Caenorhabditis elegans: one gene and its partners. The protein of the gene in region 1 binds, or shares a complex with, the protein of each later gene. Each region holds a gene or a part of one and is shown on either strand. Other genes may lie near its edges.

What was found. The genes of interacting proteins can lie anywhere in the genome.
Region 2: eif-3.B (region 1) and eif-3.G share a complex: the UniProt entries of both Caenorhabditis elegans proteins name them as parts of the eukaryotic translation initiation factor 3 (eIF-3) complex.
Region 3: eif-3.B (region 1) and eif-3.L share a complex: the UniProt entries of both Caenorhabditis elegans proteins name them as parts of the eukaryotic translation initiation factor 3 (eIF-3) complex.

The regions. Positions count from the first base shown.
Region 1 is NC_003280.10:14,793,561-14,798,735, reverse strand, and holds eif-3.B (Eukaryotic translation initiation factor 3 subunit B), read right to left. Parts: upstream 3,333-5,175; 5' UTR 3,308-3,332; coding exon 3,226-3,307; intron 3,157-3,225; coding exon 2,963-3,156; intron 2,918-2,962; coding exon 2,585-2,917; intron 2,532-2,584; coding exon 1,824-2,531; intron 1,754-1,823; coding exon 893-1,753; 3' UTR 501-892; downstream 1-500. Other genes in the region: tbc-20 (Rab-GAP TBC domain-containing protein), read right to left, coding at 1-99, 149-250. UniProt on the Caenorhabditis elegans protein: RNA-binding component of the eukaryotic translation initiation factor 3 (eIF-3) complex, which is involved in protein synthesis of a specialized repertoire of mRNAs and, together with other initiation factors, stimulates binding of mRNA and methionyl-tRNAi to the 40S ribosome.
Region 2 is NC_003280.10:8,440,961-8,444,730, forward strand, and holds eif-3.G (Eukaryotic translation initiation factor 3 subunit G), read left to right. Parts: upstream 1-1,806; 5' UTR 1,807-1,823; coding exon 1,824-1,840; intron 1,841-1,886; coding exon 1,887-1,939; intron 1,940-2,060; coding exon 2,061-2,140; intron 2,141-2,221; coding exon 2,222-2,604; intron 2,605-2,692; coding exon 2,693-2,948; 3' UTR 2,949-3,215; downstream 3,216-3,770. Other genes in the region: lips-10 (LIPaSe related), read left to right, coding at 361-650, 849-1,041; evl-20 (ADP-ribosylation factor-like protein 2), read left to right, coding at 3,347-3,635, 3,686-3,770. UniProt on the Caenorhabditis elegans protein: RNA-binding component of the eukaryotic translation initiation factor 3 (eIF-3) complex, which is involved in protein synthesis of a specialized repertoire of mRNAs and, together with other initiation factors, stimulates binding of mRNA and methionyl-tRNAi to the 40S ribosome.
Region 3 is NC_003280.10:5,619,368-5,624,408, reverse strand, and holds eif-3.L (Eukaryotic translation initiation factor 3 subunit L), read left to right. Parts: upstream 1-1,927; coding exon 1,928-2,000; intron 2,001-2,611; coding exon of another isoform or gene 2,612-2,617; coding exon 2,618-2,744; intron 2,745-2,793; coding exon 2,794-3,067; intron 3,068-3,110; coding exon 3,111-3,278; intron 3,279-3,321; coding exon 3,322-3,675; intron 3,676-3,760; coding exon 3,761-3,930; intron 3,931-3,979; coding exon 3,980-4,217; intron 4,218-4,273; coding exon 4,274-4,486; downstream 4,487-5,041. Other genes in the region: npl-4.2 (Nuclear protein localization protein 4 homolog 2), read right to left, coding at 1-650, 698-889, 952-1,317, 1,369-1,512. UniProt on the Caenorhabditis elegans protein: Component of the eukaryotic translation initiation factor 3 (eIF-3) complex, which is involved in protein synthesis of a specialized repertoire of mRNAs and, together with other initiation factors, stimulates binding of mRNA and methionyl-tRNAi to the 40S ribosome.

The DNA.
Region 1 (5,175 bases):
TAAGCTGAGATCCTCTTTTCGGTGCTTTTTCAAAAATCGATCAATTGCTTCGCGTTTATTTCGCAACGCGTTGAATTTTGCTCTCGCCAGGGGTCCCGGCTGAAAAATTGATTTTTTTTCGTTAAATTTTCTCATTAAAAACCCCTACTTTTACATATTCTTCGCCCAAATCGCTGCATGAGGCTGTCTGCCACTTATCTACGAGCACCTCTTTCAACGGCGAATTTGGCTCCGAAAACGATGAGTGCATGAACGGGTTAATTGCTAAAATTGAAGTTTAAAGTTTTTTATAGAAATTTTATTTTAAAAAAGTATAAAAAGAACAGAGTAAAATAGAGAAAGTGGATTAAAAATTGACAGAAAACCCGATGAGACATTTGTCGTCAAATTTAATGCAAAGTGTGCATACACCGTCACGTCACATTGCACCATTTGTGGAATTTTTAATAAACGTGGAATTTTTTTTTCAGAATCACAATTTTATAGCGCTGAAAAATATAATTTATGAATTTTCACTTCTGTTTATTTGGAAAAAATCTGAAACATCAACTAATTCATCAACATTTTATCGGCAAAAACCACCAGAAAACACGGAGAGACGGGAGCAACAAGAGATATTAAAGTGGATAGAGAGAAACAATTAAATAATATTAGGGCCGCCCAAAAGAAGCTTGAAAAAACCTTCTCCATTCAGGCATCATAAAGTTAAATTTGCCATAGAAAAAGGCGTTGTTCAGAAAATGACGACATGACTGGGAAAATGAAGAGGAAAACGAAAACGAGTACATGGTGGAACCACCAAAAAGAGGGGACGCCGCTCCAAGTCTTCGAGAAATCAGGAAGAAAAAGCAGCGCATAAAAAAGGGGAAAAACCGGGAAATCAAATAACTAATTAGTCTCTCATCTCCTCCTCCGTCAGAGGGGCTTGTGTTTTGCTTGTGCTCAGCGCAATGGTAATCTCCTCATCCACAAATTCGTCCTCGTCGAGTTGGGCTTCTGTGTCCACGCCGTTTCGAAGAGAGATTCTCTCGTCACGGGTGGCGTCGAGTTGCTCGCGATTCCGGCTTCGAATAATATCGAAGGCAGCCATGATCTTGCGTCGCTTCTCAACAACCTCCTGACTGGCTCTGCACTTTTCGTCGTCATCCTGCTTGATGAACTTGGCGGCGGTCTTCTTCAAGTTCTTCTTGATCTCACGCTGCTTCTGTTCGCTCAACTTCACCGGCGGCCGTGGTCTCCACTTGAATTGGGCGAGCCGGTCGAGATTCTTTCTGCACAGTTCTCTTCCCTGGAATGTGAAGATTCGGTAACCCAAATCGGCTCCGGCTCTTCCTCCCAACGTTGAGCATGTCACAAAGTATCTTCCAGTTGGATCCCAATATCCCTTATTGAAGAGTGGATGTTCTATAACATTAGTTCTCTTGGCCTCCGACAAAGAAGTATCAATGAAATAGACGTTTCCTCCAGCTGACACCTTGGCGAGAACTGCAAGCCATCCTCCTTTCGGCGCGAATTGAACCTCATTGAAGTGAACTCCAGCGTCCAACTTGCTCACAAGCTTCGGTGCGTGGCTGTTAGCCTCGATCTTGTAGACTTGTGGAGTGGCCTTAGCGGTGTTTCCCACGAGCACACAGAACTTATCGCCTTCTGGATCCCAATCGAAATGGATGAATGGCTCCGAAAGTGGGAGATTCATAAGGGAAACGTCCTTCTTGTCAATCTCGAAGATGTCCACGTGGTATTGGCATCCTCCCTGAAATTATATCATTATTATTATTATTGTCATAGGCCTCAAAAAATCCTTTAAAAAACTCAAAACTTACCACATATTTGACTTCTCCGGTCTCTCTGTACTCCTTCTTCTTGAATCTCATCGTGTAGAAGGCCAATCGCTTTCCGCTCTTCTGCCAGAACATCTGAGCGTCGGCGACATTGTGAACGCGAGCCGAACGAAGTCTCTGCATTGATGGAACTTGCAAGAGTCCAAACTCGGCTGGAACGGCGTCAGTGCACTCTGAATAGTAGGCGAGGACTGTGGATGTTGGCGACCACTCGAATTGCTTGATATTCTCGATATTCACGGGACGGCCTTCATAGAGCTCGAACTTCTCGGATTCGAAGATCGAAATTCCGTTGATCTTCTGCTCACGCTCAAGCTTATCCTTTTCTGGAGCCTTGAGGCACGCGAAGTACTTCTCATCGAATGACCATCTGAAGAATGGCCAGGTTGGGAGCTGAGTTCTTCCGGTGAGCTCGAAAGTGGAAAAGGCCTTCTTCAATTCTCCGGTTCGGACGTCCCAAATTCTCAAACTATCCTTCTCACAGTCTCCCCAGCTGTTCGACTCTTCCGGAGCGGCGTAGGTAACAAGGTAGGTCTCACACGGCGAGAAATCAATGTATTGAACGTTGGTATGAGCGAAACGGTGGGCACGAGCGTAGTCTTTGCCTCCCCAAAGTATGATTCCTTGCTTATGGATCGTGGAAAGGTAGGAGCCGTGTGGTGACCAAGTGAAGACGGTTTCGGTCCAGTTCTGGAAAAAAAAATTATTTCATTTTTTAAAAACAAATAATTCTCAAAACTTACAGCTCTTTCAGCCTTATCGGCATCTCCTGCAAGCTCTGGATCATTTCCCTTCATATTGGTGAACACTCCGACAGTTGGAACTCCAAGTTTATCGTGGGAAATTGCGAACTGATCACGGCAACGCTCGTTTTGAAGCCACCACCAGAGATCTCCAACGTCATTATAAGCCTGCTTCTCTGGAGTTGTCCAGTGATCGGAAGGAGCTTCGAGTTGCTTCATATCCTTGAAAGAACGGGCGGTGAATGTGTGATTCTTATCGAAAGCATATCCATTCAAACTTTTCACGGCGAACTGAGCGGATCGTTGATCGGCCCACTCGGTGAGCAGAACTCCCTGGAAAAAATATATTAAAATCGATATCGTTTGCGTGAATCTCACCAAGCAACCTCCTTCTGGACTTGGCGGAATGTAGAGCTTCACTGCAGGATCCAACCTCTCCAGAACCTTCTTCAGTACACTTTGGAGTTTTCCAAGACGGTCAGCTCCAACAACTGGGATTCCCGCGATGAAGACGCAATTGTCTTCAAATTCATCGATAGTTGGTTTCTTGTGGAGAACGTCAGGAACGAGAACTGAAATAAAAACATTGATTGTTGGCTATTTTTTGGAATTGATTTCAAAAAATTGAATAAAAAACCAACCATCATCGGTGACGTCGTCAACAAATCCTGGCGGATCCGAAAAATCTTCTTCGTTCTCTTTATTAAAGTCAATTTCGACCATTCTGTGTAACCCAACTAGTCTGAAACTTTAGACACGGTTTATTGAGTAAATTGTGAGATATTTTAAAGGAAAATGGAAGGAAAAACGAGATAAGTTGAATTTTTACAGAATTTTCTCCGAAAATTGTGGAAAAATGTTGGAAAACGCTGGAAAATCTGAAAAATAGGACCGATATTTGGAATATGAACAAACTCTAAACAACACCCATGCGGGAGAACGGAGCGTCGTTGCAAGCGCTCGACCGAAGAGAATCCTAGGCCGCGTCCATGAGATTTGCGCGGAATTTCAAATAGAGATAATTTTGAAACTCAAACGCGAATCAATGCATTTATAAATATTTAATGAAAGAAAAATGGGTGTACGCAAACACCAGACTTTACGAAGAAATGCGGACATTTGCCCTTTTTTCCGGAGAACGCGGCAGCGAGTACATTTTAAATATATTTATCGATCAGTTGTTTAAGTAAATAGCACAATCGATACCGAGCTCCAGTCGATGCCCGCTCAACAATCAAAGAGCAAGCAACAATCCAAGGGGGTAGTCCTCACAACAATGCTGCTGACCGTTTACTGTACAAATCACGCAATTTTTACTATAACATGATGATTAGTATACATTATTCTCAATGGATTCGTCCTTGCAGATGATTTGCTATGAGTGTTTCAGTAAAAAGTTGTTGAATCAAAGAAGTTTTGGATTTTAAGAAAGAACTTGAAAACTTAAAATAATTCTGATAGTCTTAGGTCGTTTCATATTCTGGGTTAGATGAGTTTTGTCGACTGTGCAACAGAAAGGTTTGGGCTTTACATTGGAAAAAGTGAGTGTATTGCATCGGAAGACTATGTCTGGATACGGAGTTGTGTTTTTGTTAGTTTTACTGTAACATGATGATTAGTTTACATTATTCTCTTTGGATTCGTCCTTGCAGAGTATGGACTATGAGTGTTTCAGTAAAAAGTTGTTGAATCAAAGAAGTTTTGGATTTTAAGAAAGAACTTGAAAACTTAAAATATCTCTGACAGGGTTAGGTCGTTTCATATTCTGAGTTAGATGAGTTTTGTCGACTGTGCAACAGAAAGGTTTGGGCTTTACATTGGAAAAAGTGAGAGTATTGCCGGTACAAAATCTGCCAGCTTCGACGGAAGGGATAGCTTGTATAAAACGAAAAGTTAAAGGCAAAACCACAAATGATTTTTAGCAGTTCTTTTTTATTCTTCTGCGGATCGTCTTGCTTTTTCATGATTGATGATTCTTGGTTCTCCATGATTAGTACGGTAACACAGCAGCATTTTGTCAAGCTATGTTTTTGCGATGAGCGGCCCTGTTTGATGACCTAGCGGCACTCAATTGCGCGCTCAATCGAATGACTGGTTATTTAAAATCGAAAATAGAGGTGGGGTAGGCGATTTTTTTTGGAATTTTTTTAGTCTGCTACTTGATACATATAGACACTTTCGTATCTATAGAAATTTGATGTTCTTCAAATGCCACACCTCTAATCGATTTTTATTTGGCTAGCACAATCGATACCGAGCTCCAGTCGATGCCCGCTCAACAATCAAAGAGCAAGCAACAATCCAAGGGGGTAGTCCTCACAACAATGCTGCTGACCTTTTACTGTACAAATCACGCAATTTTTACTATAACATGATGATTAGTATACATTATTCTCAATGGATTCGTCCTTGCAGATGATTTGCTATGAGCGTTTTAGTAGAAAGTTGTTGAATCAAAGAAGTTTTGGAATTTAAGAAAGAACTTGGAAACTTAAAATATCTTTCATAGTCTTGGGCCGTTTCATATTTTGAGTTACATTAGTTTTATCAACTGTACAAGAGCAAGGTTCGGGTTTCACACTTGAACAAGT
Region 2 (3,770 bases), 6.4 Mb from region 1:
TGATGGTCACAGTTAGACTGGCCTTGTGGGGGAATTTCTATAACTTCTGGGTTTGATCTCGTCTGTTAATATAGATAAATAGAGAACAAAGGGATGATCGGTGATCTTTCAAGACCCGATTGATAACGGCCGGAGTGACGTTGAAACGGAAAAAGGACGTGACCCGAAAAAAGAAGGGATTGTTTACAAACTACACAAAACACAGATTTATAATGACTGGTTGGGTAGACATCTTTCGGAAGGGATCCGGATTGAGAAGGATATTCTAAAAGAAAAGATGAAGGGGAATCTATAGGTGAAATAGGGATTACAATCAACGAAAGGAATATTGCAATCCAAACTGTAACTCTAAAATTTCAGGTTCGCACTCTCATTCTTGCTGTTCATGAATACACTCAGAAACCAGTAAACATCATTGCTTGCTCCATGGGATCTCCAATTACCAGAAAAGCTATTCTTGGAGGACACTGTGTTGATAGTGGAGTCAATTTGGGACGCCCAATTAATCATCTAATTCATAATTATGTTTCTGTTGGTGGAGCAAATCACGGAGCTATTATGTGCGCCAAGCAGCCATTTGTGAATGGAATCTGTAGTTTAACACATGGTTTGGATTGCCGTTCCAAGTTCTTACAAGAGATCAACTCACAGTAAGTTTCGCAAAAAAAGTATCCCAGCACAGGGAATTGAACTCATGCAGGTGTGCGTGAAAGGCAAAACTTTTAGCCACTAAGCCAGCAAGGCTTTTCATTTTTTGGGTATACTAGGGCATACTTAAATTTAATTACGTTGTTTTCTGTACACATAAACATTAATTTCATGATTTTACAAGTCAACATTTTTTTCAGGCCGTTCCAATACGGAAAGAACATGTTCGCCATTTATTCCGTAGCTGACGAAGTTATTGGACTCAGAAATACGTGTGGAGAGATGTCCTCACCATTAGAAGGAGCCACTTCAATCGTCAAAACTAGACTAATGCATGGAGCAGTTATTGGTGGAACTACAGAAGATCAATGGAGGGCTCTTCAAACCTCATAAAAACAAAATCTCACCAAAAATACTAATTGACATCAAATTTCACTTGTGATCTCTTTAATTTCCTTGTTTATATTGATTCGAACTCGTTGCTTTCATTCAAAACTTTGTGTGTATATTGTTCAAAAGTTTAATAAATCAGTACAATCGTTGATTAAATTGGTATTTTGAACGAAAATGATCAGAATGTTAAATTCGTCCAAGTGATCAAGTCCATCAGGCGACTTGTAAGAATTCTCATAAGAATAGAGATAGGAAACTGCTATATTTCGCAGATCAATCTAGACACATGATACAATGTTGTGATTTTCTCCGAAAACGAAGATATTTATTATTTTCTTCAGAAATCTCTTCCGATGAGACTGAATAATCTGTGAAAACCGGAGCGGCGGCGCCATTTGGCTTTTGGGCAATACGGTGCGCAATTCTGCAAACACATGATCCCACGCGCAAATGCACAGATTTCCCAATGCGTCGTTGTTTCCCAAATTTTCGATTTTCGGGATATTTCTACATTTTTAAAAGATTTCCAGCCGTGTTTTTGTTGTAGAATATTTTTTTTACATATTTATAGTTTGTTTTTATAGATATTTGCTAAAAACTATGAATCTAGTTGAATATTCGCTTATTCTGGAAAAAAAAATCAAATACTTTAAAATCTACATGTTTTGAAGAGCTGTTTCTTTTTAATTCTGAAGTTTGTTAAACCATTTATTTGAAATTTTTTCTTATTTTATATTGCTAAAAACATAATCAATAGTTTTTCAGGTAGTAAAGTTACAGCTATGACTGGCATTAACGCGTGAGTTTTCACCCTCGAATAATTATTTACGTAAAGAAAGTTTCAGAATGGCTCCCGCTCCAGAAGTTGTAAGCTGGGCTGAGGCCGTTGAGCAAGACAGTAAGTTTTTCATTTCTCGTCTTCAAGAATATTTACGTGAACTTTCACGGTTTTCGCATTTGGAGTGCAACCGCCTAACAAAACGAGTCATTTCTGTATGAACTGATGAACGCTTTTGCAGACGCCCCACACATCCAGGAAGGAGCTGATGGAACACGTACCGAAACAGCTTTCACTGAGGTTGATGGAGTAAGATGGAAGGTTTGTTATCCGATGGCCAAAAAATTCGCCTTACAGAATTCTCGAGTTATGCTCTAGAATTCTTTCAATTCCAAATTTCAGGTTGTGACACAGTTCAAAGTTATCAACAAACGTGTACCAAAAGTCGTCGCTGATCGCAAAAAATGGGTGAAATTCGGAAGTTGTAAGGGAGAGCCAGCAGGACCCCAAGTTGCCACAACTTACGTGGCTGAAGAAGTCGATATGCAATTCACAAGAAATCGCGCAGGAGAGCAGATTCTTGACGTTCAAGAAGACAAACAGACTGCTAAAACTACAAGCCGTGAGCATTGCCGTCATTGCAAAGGAAACGACCATTGGAGTACTCATTGTCCTTACAAGGTCATGTACCAATTGGACGAGGAAGCTGATGCTGACAAGGATACTGAAAAGGATAGAATGGCAATGGGAATGCGTCCTGATGGAAGACAAATCGATAGAAATCGGTAAGCATTCAAAATACTGTAATCTAAGTTGCCCAAAAAATCTTGATGATTGAATAATTTATGAACTATTTTTAAAACATACTTTCAGATCCGATGAGAATACATGCCGTGTCACCAATCTTCCGCAAGAGATGAACGAAGACGAACTTCGTGATTTGTTCGGAAAGATTGGAAGAGTCATCCGAATCTTCATTGCCCGTGACAAAGTCACTGGTCTCCCGAAAGGATTCGCCTTCGTTACATTTGAATCAAGAGATGACGCCGCCCGTGCAATTGCAGAACTCAATGATATCCGAATGTACCATATGGTTCTCAAAGTCGAATGGACACGTCCGAGCAACTAATCCGTTTTCTGATTTATTTATGTTATGCGTACTTGGATGTTTTCCCGCTGTTTGGTTCTTCATAATTTCGTAGCTAGTGTCTGTCTAAACTGAAAATTACTGTAGACCAATTCGATGTTTGTTGTTCTTTCCTATTGAAATCATAATTTTTACTTTCTATGGTTATCAGAGTTGGCAAGTGAAGTTTATTTTCACGAAGGCAGTTCTAGCTATGAAAATTGTTGGTATTTCCTTTTCTTTCTTCAATGATAAATCTATCTCTTCCTGGTTATTTTTTCGTTCTATTTTTCCAATCGAGTTGGGTTTCTGTCCAATGTAAAATATCATAGTTTGAATAAAAATCTGATGGCTAAAAATTTTCAAACGCAATAGAACATTTTATAACTCAAAAATTCCAGATGGGCTTCTTGAAGATTCTCCGTAAGCAACGTGCTCGGGAACGCGAGATGAGAATATTAATTCTTGGATTAGACAACGCTGGAAAGACTACTTTAATGAAAAAATTCCTCGACGAGCCGACTGATACAATTGAACCAACATTAGGATTTGATATCAAAACCGTGCATTTCAAAGATTTTCAACTAAACTTATGGGATGTTGGCGGACAGAAAAGTCTAAGATCTTATTGGAAGAATTATTTCGAATCCACAGATGCTTTAATTTGGGTGGTAGATTCGTCAGATAGAGGTAGAAACAAATATTTAGGATACATTCAAATTTATAAAAACTTTTTTCAGAGCGTCTTCTACAATGCTCCGAAGAACTCAAAAAATTGCTCGGAGAAGAACGATTAGCCGGTGCTTCTCTTCTAGTTCTTGCCAA
Region 3 (5,041 bases), 9.2 Mb from region 1:
GTTCCTCTGTCCTGAGCTTTAACTGCATCACACAATCGTTTCATCCATTCATCAGAAATCTGCACTTGGTCATTGGTTACTAAATAGAGCAAAAAGTGGAAGTTTGTAGCCTGTTCCAAAAATTGATTTGTAGAGAATTCGGATGAATATTGAATCAAATTTGCACCTCCTTGAAGTTGTCCAATTGCTTGTCGATTTTCAACATTAAATTTGGCACTCTTCGATTTATTAGATGTGCCAACGTGGAACGTGTAGTGAGGCTCTTTTGGCATTCCAGCAGGAACATCCACCAGCAAATATTCAACTGGAAGTGGTCGTCCGTTTTTCATAACCTCGGCTCCGTATTCATTTTTCATCGAAAATTGAACATCAGTTATATAATGTTCTTCGGATAATGGTGTCTCTCGAACATAAGCCAATTCAGGAGTGTACAGTGTTGGACAGAGAATATCAGCTTCAACCATGGCCGCACATTGATTTGAAACTTGATATCCGTGGAAATTAACATGCATCGATTCATCACCAGATGCAACAACGGTCACAAATTTGGATCCATAGTGACGATCCATCGAGTACTCTGTGATGTTTGGATGTTGATTTTGAAGCATTGCTGCGGTGATGCATTCCTCAGCTGATAGGAAGAAGGAATCCTGAAAAATTATTCGTTTTTTGGGCTTCTCTTCGAGATTGTTCTCACCTTGTGCCGTGTATAATGTACAGTTCCTTCAGCACTATTAGCTGTCCAACAATCTGTGAAGATCCATCCAACACGTTGCAAGCCAAGCATTTCCAGCAAATTGTCAATAGTTTTTTGATTTTTATCCTCCAAAAACTCAATTCCATCTTCACGGCAGTGTTGTGGAGGTTCATAAATTGCAGCCACTGTAGCCTGAAAGTATGAGCAATGAAATAACTCGTCTCAAGAAATGAGTGATGAAGTACTGAACTTACCTTGATTCCTAGTGGAACTTCAAGGTGAGGCTGATACTGTCCAATTAAAAATCCAACACGCTGATGGCCCGATAGTCTCCAATAATCCAAAAACTGATTTACAAGCTCTTGATTTTCAATTTGAATGTTATCAACATGACGAAACTTTTGACGATTCAATGTTACAACCTGTGGTTTGCATTTAGTGCAAATTCCTTTCGGGAACGGCTTGTGAGCATCACAGTTGGGTTTTAATGAACATCGAAAGTTTTCCAGCGGTTTTTTGAGAGTCGTGCCCTTCCCCTGGGATCCAAGGAGCTTGCGAACATGTGCATGGAAGCTCATATGCTTGATATCTTTTTCTTTCAAATATTCTTCATCGAATGGCTGTAAATATTGATATTAGTTTCTATGAAAACAACAGAAAATATCACTTACATCAACAGGCAAACAATTAGTGCACTTTTGACGTACAGGATGCCGACAGTTGGGCCCTTTTGGACGCTGAATTTGACCATCTTGCGTGCTTAAAAAAACATCAACGTCGTTGACACGCTCAGTTTGAGGGACTTCAATTACCATATCTGAAATAAAATAGATTTTTAAATGCAGGAAGATATGCCTTCTAGGTAGTGAATTGAAGATATATAATTTTGAGATTTTGCAAAAATAATGCAGCGGAAAGGGTATCAAATTAGTTTCCATACATATTCAAACATTAAACAGCAAATGAAATAAAACATTTTGTTTTTAGAATAAAAAATGTCATCAAAACTGCCTAGACAACATGAATGACGAGCAAATGCGTACACAAAAAACCGTGCGGCACTCTTGCGAAATCCCATGCAACGCTTGCAATTTTCTTTTTTCCATCACATTTTCCAATTCCTTTCATCAAATTTTACAATTAAAAAAATGTTTTCTCTTAATTTTAGCGTACCTTTTCGAATTTAGTTTGACATTTAAATAATATCAATATAAAAACCTTCTTTCAGTAATGTCTCGACGCGTGGAATTCGATTTATCCACTGAAGATCACTCTGATCGTCGTCGCACCAACACCTTTTCTTGTAAGTTCACAGAATGCTATTTTTCAGAATTGATGAATAAGAGTAAAATGAGTTGAAAAATGTTAAAATTTGAAACAGTTCGAAAAGACTGAAGACTCGGTCCTTTTTTGATTAACCGATTTATTTTAATTCGGCAAACAGACATTTGGAGAATTTGGTCTGAAATAATTTTGCATAAAAACTGCAGATTAACATTCCATGAGCAAAATACATAAAATTCAGAAAAACCAAATTTTCCAAATACTGTTACAGTGAAGAATCAATGCCAATTCTCAGAACTCCCTCATTGTATATGAAAATGACTACTTTTGTCATTTTCAGTGTTTTTCGGTGTCGAATATCCTCAAATCTCAGATTAAATGAATCACAGCTTTATTCATTTGAAAGAAATAATAAATGAAAAGGTGTTCATAAGAGTTCATAAGAAGTTAATCATTTAAAAGCCCGAGAGAGAAGTTGAGTATCAGAGGATCAATGATCGTGCATTGTGAAATCTTTTCAAAAGAAAAATTGATAATCAATCAATAGAGTAATTCTATAAACATATTTATGGTAGTTATTTAGGTGCTTGTTAACAACACAAACTTATCTCATTTCTTAATTTTTAACAGCTTCAGCCGATGAGGATGGAGTTCCAAATGAGGTCGCCGACTACCTGGTCTACTTTTCCCGCATGGTTGACGAACAAAATGTGCCGGAAATTTTGACTCTCTACGATCAAGCTTTTCCAGATCTCACCGAGAGGTAATATTTAATAATCTCAAATTGTTTTCTATTTATCTTTTAATTTCAGATTCTTCCGTGATCGCATGTGGCCCGATGAGAATGTTGTCGAAAGAATTATTGGACCTGGCAACAAGTTGTTCATAATTCTCTACAAGGAACTCTATTATCGCCAGCTGTATGCAAGAAATACTCGTGGACCACTCCTTGTCCATCGCTATGAGTCGTTCATGAACTATCAAGAGTTATTCTCTGAGCTTCTCTCAAGCAAGGATCCAATTCCATTGTCTCTCCCTAACGTGTGGCTTTGGGATATTATCGACGAATTCGTCTATCAATTCCAGGTAATATTTTTTGGTAGAGTTTGTACGTAATATAAATATTCAGGCATTCTGTCTCTACAAGGCTAACCCAGGAAAACGCAATGCTGATGAAGTTGAAGATCTCATCAATATCGAAGAAAATCAGAACGCGTGGAATATCTATCCAGTTCTCAACATTCTCTATTCGCTTCTATCAAAATCCCAAATTGTGGAGCAGCTCAAGGCATTGAAGGTTTGTTTAATTCAATATTATTTTTTTGCTTTCAACTCTACAGTCGTTCCAGGAAAAACGCAATCCGGATTCGGTCGCCGATGAATTCGGTCAATCGGATCTCTACTTCAAGCTTGGATATTTCGCTCTCATCGGACTTCTCCGCACTCACGTTCTTCTAGGAGACTATCATCAGGCTTTGAAAACCGTGCAATACGTGGATATTGATCCAAAAGGAATCTACAATACAGTTCCAACTTGCCTTGTTACTCTCCATTACTTTGTTGGATTTTCTCATTTGATGATGAGAAATTACGGAGAAGCTACAAAGATGTTCGTCAATTGTCTGCTTTATATTCAAAGAACAAAGAGTGTTCAAAATCAGCAGCCATCGAAAAAGAACTTCCAATATGATGTTGTGAGTACTTTCTAAATTTTTTGCACAATATTTGCACAATAATTGAATATCTAATGAAGACCCAATAATATTCTGCCGATTTCAGATTGGAAAGACGTGGGATCAGCTTTTCCATCTTCTTGCAATCTGCCTCGCCATCCAGCCACAAAGAATCGATGAAAGCATTGCTTCTCAGCTTTCGGAGCGATGTGGTGAGCGTATGATGCACATGGCGAACGGGAATATCGATGAATTCAGAAATGCTTTTGCTACTGGGTAGGAAACGAAATTAGTCAAGTAATTGTATAGTATTGTATTGTTGCAGATGTCCAAAGTTCTTGTCTCCAACCACAGTTGTCTATGAGGGAGTCAACCAATCGAAAGAACCACTTCTTCGTCAAACTCAATCTTTCCTGGAAGGTATTGAATCACAGATGGCGTTACCAGTTCTTCGTGGATACCTGAAACTTTACACAACACTTCCAACTAAGAAGCTTGCGTCGTTCATGGATGTTGATGATGAGCACTATGATTCGTTCATTGGAAAGCTTCTCACTTACAAGGTATATATAAGAATTTCCGATGATCTCGAGTGTTGATGTAATATTTTGAATTTCAGATGATCGTCAATGAGCTTGGCAAAGAAGCCGGACCATCATCAGCAGACGACGATGAGCCACAAACAGATATTGACTTTTACGTAGACCGTGATATGATCAATATTGCCGATACCAAAGTTGCTCGTCACGTCGGTGAACATTTCATTCGACATATTCAGAAGTTGCAAGAGGTTCAGGATGTGCTCAAACGACTCGATATCCAGAAACCATGATCCTTAAAAAGTATTTGAGCTAAACGAAACATGACTGGTTGATTTCCGGTTAATTTCGTTTAGTTTCACACCAACTCCCACTCGTTTGTTAACATTATATCTCTTGTTGAAAATTAAAAACATCTCTCCGTTTATTTATACCACTTTCTCCTGTTGTTGTCTTTTCGTTTTGGTCCTAAACTTCCTTTTTTTCTCTTATCTCCCAATTATTTTGTATCCATGGTTCATAATAAGTTTAGTAAATTTTTTTGGTTTTTCTTATGAAGTTAATTTATGATTGTTTATATTCTACGCTCATCGCAACTACTTCTCAATTTTTTCCGAATAATTATTAATCTCTCTTACGAGTAGTCTTGTATGTACAGTGATAGACTGTACTTTGACCTATAGGTCCATGGTTTTCACCTAGAACGTAGTCTTATGTGTATTCTCCCACTAGTTATGCCTGCGTCTCCAGTCTCGAGGGAAGATAAGTAGAACAGGAGGACAACAACAATCTTTTCCATTGATCCCGATTTTTTTTCCCGTTTGTTTTCAAAATTAAAAAAAATTATT